Bombyx mori: one gene and its partner. The main gene of each other region encodes a partner of the protein of the gene in region 2 in a complex. Links are inferred from orthologs where the notes say so. Each region holds a gene or a part of one and is shown on either strand. Other genes may lie near its edges. The genes, in order: mitochondrial fission 1 protein and B-cell receptor-associated protein 31.

Region 1 (7,033 bases), on a different chromosome or scaffold from region 2:
TTTATTAATTTAATAGACAAAAACAAAATAACATACATTGCACAGCGAGATATAGGATGATTTCTAATTAAATTCATATGAAGTTTTAGTCCTCTTTGATTTGCTTCCTCTTAAAGAGATAATGAACACCTAGAGCAGCATTCATTCTGTAAATAATATAAATCGATTTAAATAAAAAATATCAAAACATTACAATTACATGGGTCGTCATAGCTGGAGATACACAACATTCTAGCTGCCTAAAGCTGTGAATACACTAGGCAAAGTAGGCAAGGGTCTACTTTGCCTAGTGTTGTATACAACACATGTTCTAGTGTTGTATACAATTGAAACTTTAACCACATGTCACAGTGAGTGGCAGTATTTATGTTGTGGCGTCTCTGGGAACCACAGAATACAATATGTGCTGTGAACTTGGATGCCCATCTACAGAAATACCAAAAAGTTGCCAAAAATTCCAATAGCGTTGAATGTAGAATTTGTGTTTAGTACAAATACATAATTTGATTAATTGTACCTAGAACATTAGATATGATTTGTTAAATAAATAAAGAGATAAGCTCACGATTAAATATTATTAAAGTCTCAACCTTAAATTTTTAATAGGCAATATTTACTCTCACACATTTAAGTTGTCCAAACTACTCACAGCAAGGCTAAATGCTATTTCTTTGAAGCAAGTGCGATTCCAAGTCCCACGAGCCCTCCAAGGGCAAGGACAGCTCCTCCTGCCACCGCCATTCCAATTAAACCTTCTTTTTCCATACGTTTATTGATTTGACGCTAGAATGAATAAAATATTTTTTTCAAAATTTAATAGTTTTTTTTTATTGCTGATTGGTTATGAACAAGTAGCATTTAATAACTATGGTTAATGGAATGATGAGTGGTGAGTGGACCGCCAGAAGAGCACTTAGGATAACTAGAAATACCTAAATAGTAGAAGCTTGAGGTGAGGGCTTAATGCGTAGCTGGAGAGAAATTTACTACATTAACTTTTACCAAATTTCTTTTTCAATTTTTTTTCTTTGTCAAAAAAGGTTCACTACTCACTATTTCTTGAACCAGTATTAAGGGCTTATATACGATTATATATTATTTATTGTGATATATTTTGCTTTAAGACAATAGTTCTACAGAACTGCTGTGGGACAGTATTTATGGTTGTTGGTGTATCCCCTCCCAACCCAGTAGGCCAGTTTTGGTTTAACAGGATATTCCGTGTCATCAGCGGCTCTGAGCGGGGCCGACGTAAAGTTGTCGGCTGTCGCCTCGGCAACCTTTCGGTCAGACGTCCTAAGGGTGGCCTGGCCATTCTTGTATTGTTCATCACTAGTACCTCCCTATTCTGACTGGGTCTGACTCCAGGCGGAGATCAAACGAGGGGTGAAATATGCTAGGGGACTCGTTTGGCCCTACCACAATCTCATATGAAGTTCAGCGGACAGCCCAAAAAAAAACACATATACATACTCATATCTTCAGACTTATTGCCAAACTGACTAATGTCATTATTTATCTTCAAATGTAAGATTTCTCATGTATCTACTCTACTATTCTGCCATTCGAACTTATGTTATTATAGCTGATCTTACCTCTAATGCCAATACTTGCTGATTAGCGGGTTCAATCTCGAGGAATGATTTCACATAATGCAAAGCCTTATTGTACTCCTTTATTCTGGCATTACCAATGGCAAGGTAGAAAAGGTAGTCACGTTTGCCTTCAGGATGAGAGTTGAACAATTCTTTAAGAAGTAAGATTCCCTGTAAAGTATACTCATCTTAGAACTTCTGAAGACTTGAAATGTTTAAGCGTGCTTTGTAGTTCCAGCTGTCAAGTAAATTATACATTCTTTTCTGCTTTTACTTGATGCTTAAAAGATTAAAACTTAAGACAAAACAATAAAAAAATTAATGATTTGAATTCATTATCTTATTAACAAAAGTCCGAAAGGAGGTAATTGTTTTCTTAAATGTTTTCCCTAATCATTGGTAGCCCAAGGGGCTATTCCAACTATGCTCAGACTGGTAAATATATATCATAATGTAAACTTTGCCATCCTGACTTTAAGATAAGTCTCAATTATTTTGTGTAAGGGTTGTCTCACCTTTCAAACCAGAAAACATGACTATTATGTGGCAGTAATAGACAAAATAGTGTTGACTACCAGTGTGAACATTAATTATACACAGTATTCCCTGTTACCAGTAGTTATTAAGCAAGTTGTGGAATAATAATTGGTTTTTAGTTAAATATGTAATATAATTTCTTTGCCTTGGAAGTCAGTCCTTAAAAAACTTGCACATGCCTATGAGACTTTAACACTAAAATTGTAACATCCCTTGAAACATGTACACTGCAGACTCATCCTTTAAGCCATGATGAGTTCCATTTATTTTTAATTATCAATCTCATGTGTCCATTGGAATACACATTCAAAATAATAAAAACACTTAACTAACAGGAAATGAAATGAATGGTTTAAAAATATCAGAAACAACAATCGTTTCTTCTAATGTAGTGATATTCAGTGCTATAGTCGGATTTTTAATTAGACGAAGCTAGCTGACAGTAGCTAATGTCACTTTGTGAAATAATGTTGCTATATTTAAAGTAATAGTGATGCGTTCAGTTCTCGTTCAATCACAAATGAACAATGAGTGTGAAGAGTTAATCATTAATTTCAAACTATAAAAGAGTATTATTTATATTTTACAATAAAATTGTATTAAAGTGCTCCAATATATGTTGCTAATAGTATGTAACTACAATCAGCTTTTTTTATTTTCATTACCTACCTATAATTGTTATATTTTATACATCTATAATTTCAACTACATGATGTATTGGAAATATGACAGTCTTACAAGCTTCCTCGCAGTGTTTTTCTTAATTAAAACACTCGGTATTCAGTACAGGTAGATACTATAGGAACATAATATTTCGTCGAAAACTCGTTGGTATGTACAAAGCACGCCTAAAATTCGAAACCCGTACCCGATATCGGCAATTCGGCACACCAACTGTTCACTAGACAATCGAGGCAATTTTATTAATTCAGGAGTTTTTTCAATCGTTCACTTTGTCACAACATTATTTTTATTTCATCAAAAACTGACAACACAGTAAACGTCAGTTGACTTCGTCTAATAAAAAATCCGACTATAGTATTCTATATTAAGTATATTTGTATTAAATATTTAGATATCTTAATGTTTAAATATATAAATATGGCTTTGTTTAGCAAATTTGGCAAAAACAAGTCAAGTTGATGATATGCATAATATTCTGACATACCACTGTAATGAGATCTGTAAAATTGACGTCAGTTTTTATACTATGTATTTGTAAATAAATGTACCTTTCGTATATCCGTTGGATACTTGCTGCGCACTAAACACCATGCGTATTCAAACTGGGCTTTGTGGGAAACGTTCCCTTGATGCAATTGTTCATGAAAGACCCTCTCGAATTTCTACAAAAAAAAAAACAAACAAAGATTTATGAACAATTGTAAATTTATTTGTGAGTCACTATCAACAACAAAGTTTTAATCGTTACTTGCAAATCTTCCGATGAAACAATCTCGTCTAATACGTCTTCCATTGTAGCCGGTTACTATAAATGATAACTTTGATTAGATATTTAACGTTTACAAAAAGAAAAATAGGTGTACCGTGTAAGGTTTATTACGAGAAATTGGTAGATTTGCAATGCAGAATAAATGGAATTATGGATTGTTTGACAATTTTGACATTGAATGTTTGACATCGTTCATGATGATTCAGTGGCACTTAAGTTTTTCCAGGTTAAGAAAGGCAAAAACATCCGACCACACAGTATATTTCGAAATAATTTAGGTACTGAAAAAGTTAGAAAGTACATTTACTTAGTATTATAAAAAAGACCTAGTAACAAAGCCAAAGGGATTAAAAGTCTTTATAGAAAAGACTAAAGTCATATCTCGCTACAATTTTTCAAGCAAATGATTTTTTTTCTCTATTTATTCGTTGGTAGCTTAAGAAGCTATTCCCGACGGCTAGGTAAGCTCACAAACTCGACCTGAAAGAATTTGCTACCACTAGTCCTACTAGAGTAGGCTTCGCATAATCTACTTGCGTGTGGCACCGTTTTGTTGAATAACGCTCTGACCTTCTGACGCTTCCATAAGATATTTACGAATCGGTACTAAATTTAGATCGTCGTGAAGATTTACATTCCTCACATACCACGACGCTCTGACGGCTATCCTGCAGAAACAAGATTGGATGACCTGGAGAGAGTTAACGTGTGTACGGGCCGCATGACATGACATGAGCGAAAACCTAACGATACGAATACCACAGGCAACACACGCATAGGTACAATGTTCGAGATCCCTGCAGCAAAAGTGTCACTGCTTAAACTGAATTAAAATTACAGACAGAGATTAAGTTTAAAACATAGAGTTACTATACTTATTAACTCCATGGTTTAAAATCTATGGTACATACGGTAACCATAGATTATACACTTAATATATTCGAGAACGGTAACCACCGAACGAGAAAACACTTGAACAAAGAATTAAATCAAATCAAATTGAATTGTCAAATTTGGTCAAATTGATAAGTTCTTTTGTGGGCCGGCAATTGCTAGGTATACGTAGTAGATAGTGTAAAAGACAGCTCATAGTTTTTTTAACAACCCATAATCCTATTAGGGACATCACAATGCAAAGTGTAATAAACACAGTAAAGGGAACTGCTCTTGGCGTGGCCGGTTACTTGACACCGGTGTTGAAGGTACGTTTATCACGATCATTATTAATTACATACATATTGAAATTACTCATTATATATATGAATCGGTGACTGACCGAACATATTGATAATCTTTTTACCCTGTAAAAATAAATATTTATTTCTATGCTTCATATTTATTTAAAATGTAATATTCTGTAGTGAGTGTCTCACAATTTGAACGGTAATTCCAGAATATGGGGATTTGAGGATCATTTGCAAGTCAATTAGGTTACTAAGAAATTTGAAAACAAACCAAAGGCTTATTTATATTAACTTCACTTATTTCTAGGAATCGAAATTTCAAGAAACTGGTGTACTGACTCCTGAAGAGTTTGTAGCTGCTGGTGACCACCTGGTACACCACTGCCCTACCTGGCAGTGGGCAAAGGGAGAGGAAGCTAAGATTAGGCCTTACCTTCCTGCAGACAAACAATTCCTTATAACTCGAAATGTGCCATGCTACAGACGATGTAAACAAGTAAGCTAAAACAATTTTTGTAAGTTACAATAGATATCACGGCTTCTTCAGTTTTTATGACAACCTCCGCAAGAAGTTGTCATTTTGCAATAGCTATTTCAAAATTTTTGTAGTTATTGTGGGTGACTCACATGTATTTATTTATTTTATAATATTTTATTATAATTACACTACACAACAACACATACATACTTACTTTATTTTATATCAACACATTCATTTATCACACAATCATACAAAACATTATTTACACTAAACAAAATTAAATCCACAACTAAAGTCGGGCGATAACTGCAGTATAGCGGCGACGATAATATTTCGCTAGTACATCGGTGCATAGACGAACCGGTCGTTGCATTTTTACCGATCCACCGCCACCAGTCGAAATCTGATATGCGAGCATGCATCCCGTGTTATTCTTTCTGTACTACGCCTTTTAATTATTACTTTTTGTTTCGTGTACCGCTTGTGTTGCTTGGACTATCTATTTCTTGTTACTTTCACCTTCTTTGTATATTTTGTGTTCGTCTTAAATAAAAACTTTCTTTGTGTCCATTTGTATTTGGAAAGACATTATAATTACAACCATCGCCCAAGATGACTAAAGTTATCATAGTCAAGCACAACTGAAGTGTTGAATTGTGTTTATTTAATTTGAAATTTCTTTGTCTAATGACTAATGTCTTTCTAACACTTTGTAAAATAATTTTTTACTTTTACACATGTGTAAACACAAAACTATCTGGATAAAGTAATAATCTAGAGCATGATCTTGTGATGCCTAGACCTTTTTTGTTTTATATAAGCTGAAAGTTTCTCTGTGGATGTCTCCACACGGCTGAGAACAAGTACTTACTAAGGAGTTTTGATTATGGTTACTTGAGCTTGTAACAGGCAGTAAAGTTGTATTGAATTGTACTTCAAATTTGTTAAATTATAAAGGTATTTTTTTTAATAAAATTAATAATCACATAATCTATTGCTGGACACTTAGTAAACTTGCAACCCTATAACCCAAATAGTATAATTACCAAATTAACTCATTTTGCAGTTTCAATTGTATGCTGTTACCATAACAGTGATAAAGTATTAGATTCCAACGATTCCCACTTACACCTAAATTCCTAGATTGCCTAACAAAGCTCCATTATATTAGATACTAAAGATTTTATTCTGGTTTGTGAAGGTTTTATATAGACTGCTTTGTGGTAAAATATCCGTGCCAGCTCAACATTTTCTTTTATACTGCTGTTATACTATCACGAAAAATAGGCGCAATTTAGAGACATCAAATAATAGAGAATTTCCTGCTTGTTGGGTTGTACTTCATCATGGTAGCGGAGATCACTTAAAATAAGTAGCATAATTAATTTTAAAAAATAGTACTCGATATTTGAAAAATTTCTTGGTATTTATTTAAAGAAAAAAAAATACATTAGAAATTAGAATAAAAAATACACATATTAAAGAAAACATTCAGCTATGCATGTATGTAAAGTGCAAACTGGCCATCCAACCCACTAGATATTAATTGGGTTAATGTTTAATTTCTTTCTAGATTGAATACTGTGAAGATAAAGAGAAAGTGATAGAAGATGAAAACGATGCAGATGGTGGCTGGGTTGATACTCATCACTATGACAATGCAGGCTCCCCTGCACTCGAGGAAAAGGTCAGCAGGTTCAATTGCTTATTTACATAGACCAATTTCTCACCTGATTATCTGCAGATATCCTTAACATGCATGCCCATACTTTAAAACCAATTG
Region 2 (6,793 bases):
GCTTTATCGAAGTGGACGGACTCACAAGAGGTCATACCACCATTATCAAATTGTGAATGACATGAATTAGACACCCTTTGACGCGTATAAAAGACCTTGTCTAATTTAAATTCTGCCCCAGTACTCCTGCGCACTCCAACAGCACACCTCAGAGCTGATATTGCATCATATAATTTTTAACCTCTTACTAATCAATATCGAGCTACCTACGTCATTCAGTGAATAGTTATTGTCTGATGAGTCACTCGTTACGAGATATTTTCGTACGAATTCAAAGAAACGCTTCCACCTGCAAATGCACCTACGTGGCTTTTTCGGATACGTCGCGCAATGTCGGATACAATATGAGAATCAACTATTTTTTGTTACTTTTTCGTAATGTAGGTAGAATCATTTTTGAAAAAAAAACATCATAATCGATTTTCGAAGAACCACGAAAGTAGGTTGTCATAATAAACATAACTTTTAATTTAATTGACAAACAATGAACATAGGTATCTAATTTTAACAGACAGCTATGTATTATGACTGAAGCGATTCATCACTTTATACAAGTGACCTCTATTTTCGCGCGAAATGCAAAATTACATTGTTGTTATTTAACCGGTATATTCATAGATGAAAATAACGAAGATGACGTGCATTGAAAGACCATAAATGAGAGGCTATATTTTGTTGTTCAGCATTTACCAAAGTCCATAAATAGTGTTAACTAGCTGTGCCCACGACTTCGTCCGCGTGGAATTTAACAAAACATTACTTTATTTTTTAATAATTTTAGTTACTCCTTATTACATCAGCCATCTGCCACTGAAAATCTCATCAAAATCAGTTCAGCTGTTCCAGAGATTAGCCGGAATAACAGACGGATAGACAGACAGATAAAAATATTTTTTAATAATTTTAGTTACCTAAGTACTCCTTATTACATCAGCCATCTGCCACTGAAAATCTCATCAAAATCAGTTCAGCTGTTCCAGAGATTAGTCGGAGCAACAGACGGATAGACAGACAGACAAAAATATTTTTTAATAATTTTAGTTATTCCCTATTATATCAGCCATCTGCCACTGAAAATCTCATCAAAATCAGTTCAGCTGTTCCAGAGATTAGCCGAAACAACAGACGGATAGACAGACAGACAAAAAATTTTTTTTATAATTTTAGATATATCAGCCATCTGCCACTGAAAATCTCATCAAAATCAGTTCAGCTGTTCCAGAGATTAGCCGGAACAACAGACGGATAGACAGACAGACGAAAATTGTAAAAAAAAATTTTTGGTATATGTACCGTATTTACATTCATGAATATGCATGTAGCTAAAAGCGGTTATTTTAATATTTGTAATATATTGTATTAGACACTTCAATTTTATTTATTTGTATAGTTAAAGTATCTAAGTAATTAAAATTGCTCGAACCCTTAAATATCGTGTTTTTAATTGTCATTACATATATTGCAGTTTCATTATGTATATTTTATTATTAACTTACAATTTTACATTACGGACATTTTATTTTACAAACCGACACCGGAGCGAAAACCGAAGAAAATGTTCAAGTATAAATCTACAATTTAAAGTTGCCAAATGCATTTTTCTTTGGTTAGCCTTTTTTACTGCATATGGAGCTCACGGCTCACCTGGTTTTCAATGGCTACTGCTCCATAGACACCCAACAATGTAAATACCACCTATCTTGAGACAAGTCCCAGATTTATAGTACAAAAGCTTTCCCAAACCAAAATGTATTAATTACTACTTCACTCTATCACTGCGGCCTACAAATCGTAATAAAAGTTTTGAGGTAAACAAATTAATATGGGAGGTAGATGGAAGTTTTTCGAACATTTTGAAGAAATATAATAAATGCAGTTTTTCAAAAAAGTATTTTATTTAATCAAACCAGCATATAAACAATTCAAGACTTTTTTAATAAGCAGTCCTATTCCAAAGTTATTCGTGCCTTTTTTACATTACAATTAAGAACAAACAATTACTGTTCCGAAAAGAAAAAAAACTCAGGCTTGAATAACAGAACTCAACTTCCTATTGAGAAGTTGTGTGGTTAATAAGAATCTGAAAATGATTTGGATGAAAATTGTGCTACAGTTTTCAAATTCATCTAAATTGAAAGTGAGAATTAATCACAAATGCAATATCTTTAAACATTATTATTCTACAAAAGATTGGTGTTCACTTTCAATTAAAAACATGTATTCATTTTCATTTCCAATAAAAATACTAGTAAATTATAAAAATCTGATTATTCCTAATTGACAAAACACAATTTAAGGAATATTAAATTAGATCCACTCTTACAATTCACATTTTTCATACACAAATCCATGTTTGACACCAAAAACCCTAAAAGTTAAGAAACAACAGCTTAAAATAAAAATTATAATAAAAAATTAAAAAAGCTAACAATAATATATTTTAAGGCTTAACCTATTTACTTTTGAAATTTTAAGGATTTCTAAATATAAAATTTAAGCAATATAACAATGTTGAAATTTTGATTTTCTTTTTAATGAACTACGAACATGAAAATTTGTTAATTTATTTTTCATTTCATTATCAGTAATGTTTGTGGTTAAGCTGATTCCAAAGTCCAGATGTGTAATGCAACTTTCTGAAAACATTTAAATAGCAAGTGACAAACTATTATTAATATACTTTTAAAATAGATCAACACAGTAATACTAGAAGCAGCATAGACAACATTTAGTTTCATCAAAATCAGACTCATACATTCTGTAATGTCTAATATTTACTCATCTTTCTTAGAATCACCTTCACCAGAAACTGTTAGCTTTTTCTGTAGCTTGCTGTGCTCTTCAGCGAGTCTATCATACTCTTTATTCAAACCTTCAGCTTGTGATTTTACAGCTTCTTTGTCTTTCTTCTCTTTTGAAAGTTCCTTTTCCAAATTCAAAATTTGGGTCCTCAGATCTTCTATTTCTTTCTTGCTTTGTTCCTCGCCAGTGCCTTGCTTCTCTAACAAAGTTCTAGCAGTAGTGGTAGCACTCTGAGCTTGGCGGAAGTTTGCCTCAGACTGAGCTAACAATGTAGCCAGTTGTGAAATCATTTGAACCAAACGACGGATGACGACAAGGAGGAAAAGTGCAAAGCCAGATATGTAGAAGTTTCTCTGTGCACGAAACAATCTCATGTTACCTTGCATTTCGGCGTCGAGATGCTGGTGGTCTGACGGTTCAATATTTGAATATTTTTGCATCTCACGAATTGCATCTAGCAGACATAATACTAGCACGCCAATGAGAATCAGAAAATAAATAGATGCCTGCCCGCTTATGTAAGCTAGAAATTTCGATTTGAAGAACTTCTGCCATCTGCTCGGACTGGCTATCGGCAAAGTTAAAAGGAGGACGACTGCGATCTCGGTATAGAGAAACGTCGCGATAATTGTCCATTGCAGACTCATGATTTCACTATTTCTTTAACACCGTTATTAGCTATACAATGCAGCAAACGATAGTGGAAGAACAACAAACTATGACGAAATTCTTAGGCCAAGAGTGACGATAGATTTAAAAATTGAAAAAAAAAACTTCTATGTATGACTCAGACTGTGACGGACGGTCGACTTTGGATCTCACAGACTACTTCACTATACTTTAAGCACAGATAAAAACTAAAATCAAAATAATACATCAGTTCTTTTTATATCAAAGCACGCTTACGTGTTAAATTGTATAGATAAAGCAAACTAAAGAGTAAACTAATATAAGAAAAATTTGATATGTGTAACCAGAAAAGTGTGCTAATAATTGAAACTAGGTAGTGAAAATTTTTTAATATTAATGTTCTATAGTTTTCCATTTATTTTGTAATTTAATGAAAAAATATCCTAGACTCGTTGTATGCACCTTATTACCTATCTGCCTACTAATTCTGAAACATTGAAGTCGTCGTGGCTTAAAAGATAAGACGTCCGGTGCATTCGTGTTGAAGCGATGCACCGGTGTTCGAATCCCACAGGCGGGTACCAATTTTTCTAATGAAATACGTACTCAACAAATGTTCACGATTGACTTCCACGGTGAAGGAATAACATCGTGTAAAAAATCCACTTCGTTAAAGCGGCACGACACGAGAACCAACACGTCATCTCGGATCCTCCCGATCCACTAACGGTGCTTTTAGGTACTTCAAGCACCGGTCACCGTTCTGGTCGAACCCGTCGCTTGCGACGAAGGGCTCGACGAGTAAATTAACTCTCAGACACAGCCCACTGAGTTTCTCGCCGGATCTTCTCAGCGGGTCGCGTTTCCGATCCGGTGGTAGATTCTGCGAAGCACGGCTCTTGCTAGGGTTCGTGCTAGCATCGTCGTCAGGTCCACTTCGCTAAAGCGGCACGACACGAGAACCCTCTCATCGTGGCCGCCGGTAACTACATTCCCGATCCTGCGGACAGAATGGAAAGCAGTCGACGTCGCCCAAAACACGTCATATCGGATCCTCCCGATCCACTAACGGTGCTTCTAGGTACTTCAAGCACCGGTCACCGTTCTGGTCGAACCCGTCGCTTGCGACGAAGGGCTCGACGAGTTAATTAACTCCCAGACACAGCCCACTGAGTTTCTCGCCGGATCTTCTCAGTGGGTCGCGTTTCCGATCCGGTGGTAGATTCTGCGAAGCACGGCTCTTGCTAGGGTTCGTGTTAGCAACGTCATCAGGTTTGAGCCCCGTGAGCTCACCTACAAACGTTAGGGTTACGCTGAAATAGCCTGTCAAGGCTATCAGCTTAGGTAGGAAAAAAAAAAGTGTAATAAAAATCAAACCCGCAAAAATTATAATTTGCGTAATTACTGGTGGTAGAACCTCTTGTGAGTCTGCGCGGGTAGGTACCACCACCCTGCCTATATCTGCCGTGAAGCAGTAATGCGTTTCGGTTTGAAGGGTGGGGCAGCCGTTGTAACTATACTTGAGGCCTTAGAACTTATATCTCAAGGTAGGTGGTGCATTTACGTTGTAGATGTCTATGGGCTCCAGTAACCACTTAACACCAGATGGGCTGTGAGCTCGTCCACCCATCTAAGCAATAAAAAAAAACTGAAGCTATAATTTGCCATTTAAGTAAATTAAATAAGTATATTAGCACGTATGGGTTGATTTAAATTTCACCCATAACAAGCTCATAAAATATCACAATTATTTTATTTTATTTTACAGATCAAAACAAGAAAGGCTTCAAGGCTCTATGTTCGATTCATAGGCTATACACATTTTTTTCATTCGATTGACGTGACATCACAGACCAACAAAATTTCTGATTCATATTACGGAACATTTATTTATTTATTCTCAAACTAGTGCTTATATTTTTTCAACATTACAATATATAAAATGGCTGATCCTAAATATGAAAATCTACCCGGCATTGTAAGTATACTCAATAGGAATATATTGTACACGTCGGAGATTAAATGTATAACAAGAACTTTCTTGTAGGCCTATGACCAACGCGATGTTTATGAAACTGATGATCTTCCGGAAGCCGATCAGCCGGAGCCTTATGAGGAGGAGGAGAACGAGTGTATCGAACAATTGCACTTATCGGTCAAGGATTCTTTCAATAAATTCAAAGGGAAGTTCCTTACTGGCCCTGTAGATTTTTCAGATAAATTGAGCAGAAAATCTCGAATTGGTTACAGGTGGGTTTTCATTACAATTAAATCAAACTCAATTTTTTATTATTAATCAAAGTAGGCTTATCTATACACACCAGATTTATTTTTAATTATTTAGAGTTGGTGAATGGGAGCTAGCAGCTGAAGGTGACCCGGAGACTCCACTACAAAGATACAATAGACTTAGATGTGAGTTTTCTGAACTCCTCGAAGATGTCACTGACCAACAAAACAAAGCTGGCGATAGTGAAAAGGTAAAATTATCATCATACTAGCAACCTAGAAAGTTTATAGTTATTTTGTTTTGACTGTCCAATCGTAACATTAAACAAACTACTACTTAATGAAGTCGTAGCAAGCAAGCACTAAAATATCAGGAACAGTGGAATGTAAAAATCATTGTAAGAACCTGTTAAATCTATTTATACAAGATAGCTGCAAAAGCTGAAAACAATTTGTAAATTCTAAAATAAATGCAATCCTATATTTAGTCAGTTCAAGAATACATATTTTGTTCTGTTCTTACTTGACTGGGATAATTGTCTCAATATTTTAATTTATTATATCATCAGAAAGTGAAAACAGTATGTAGGGTTGTAAGTATGTTCTACTATAAAGTGTAAACATAATATTAAACAAATTACAAAGACAGCCATGTCATTCTAGATGAGAACAGTCATTGACGATTGAAACTTTAAAGGGAGCATACATTACTCAAATACATGAGTTTTCAATATGAACAAGCATTAGTTTAAATTTAAAAAACTAAAATACTTTTTGCGGCCATTGCAAGAAGCAGTTTTGTTTTTTATTGAGTTTGTTGATTAAACACACAACCTAAAAAAATGTCCAACTAATTCAAATTTTTCATACAAAATGTCTTGAGTTTGCCATCCTTATTAAACATTAATAAAAATAACTTATGCTATTGACAACCAACAAATGTAACTGGATACCTGTTGACACAATTATATCAACGCTTGAAAGGCAAACGTGACTAAGCGACAATAACTGCTTTCTACACAAATGATAGGCAATAACTATATTTGAGGTGCAAAAAATATAAATTTCTAGGTCTATTAAAATCATTTCAATCCTACAGCTACTAGCTAGATTCTACTACAGCTACAGCTAC

Evidence for each region.
Region 1: the proteins of B-cell receptor-associated protein 31 (region 2) and mitochondrial fission 1 protein are in contact, whole or in part, in a crystal structure (PDB 8XWX), measured with the Homo sapiens proteins. The link is inferred for Bombyx mori from reciprocal best matches to the Homo sapiens genes BCAP31 and FIS1. Residues at the interface, in NP_001132913.1 of Homo sapiens: Asp224, Leu227, Glu228, Ala231, Lys232, Ala235; in NP_057152.2 of Homo sapiens: Arg52, Val56, Glu59, Glu60, Pro63, Lys64, Lys89.

Annotation. Positions count from the first base shown.
Region 1 is NC_085110.1:17,562,285-17,569,317, reverse strand, and holds the start of mitochondrial fission 1 protein, read right to left. Parts: upstream 3,791-7,033; 5' UTR 3,610-3,790; coding exon 3,565-3,609; intron 3,479-3,564; coding exon 3,365-3,478; intron 1,767-3,364; coding exon 1,596-1,766; intron 784-1,595; coding exon 664-783; 3' UTR 650-663; intron 147-649; 3' UTR 1-146. UniProt on the Homo sapiens protein: Involved in the fragmentation of the mitochondrial network and its perinuclear clustering. Plays a minor role in the recruitment and association of the fission mediator dynamin-related protein 1 (DNM1L) to the mitochondrial surface and mitochondrial fission.
Region 2 is NC_085114.1:13,893,338-13,900,130, forward strand, and holds B-cell receptor-associated protein 31, read right to left. Parts: upstream 3,899-6,793; 5' UTR 3,450-3,898; coding exon 2,775-3,449; 3' UTR 1,877-2,774; downstream 1-1,876. Other genes in the region: dynactin subunit 2, read left to right, coding at 5,375-5,410, 5,480-5,682, 5,777-5,912. UniProt on the Homo sapiens protein: Functions as a chaperone protein. Is one of the most abundant endoplasmic reticulum (ER) proteins.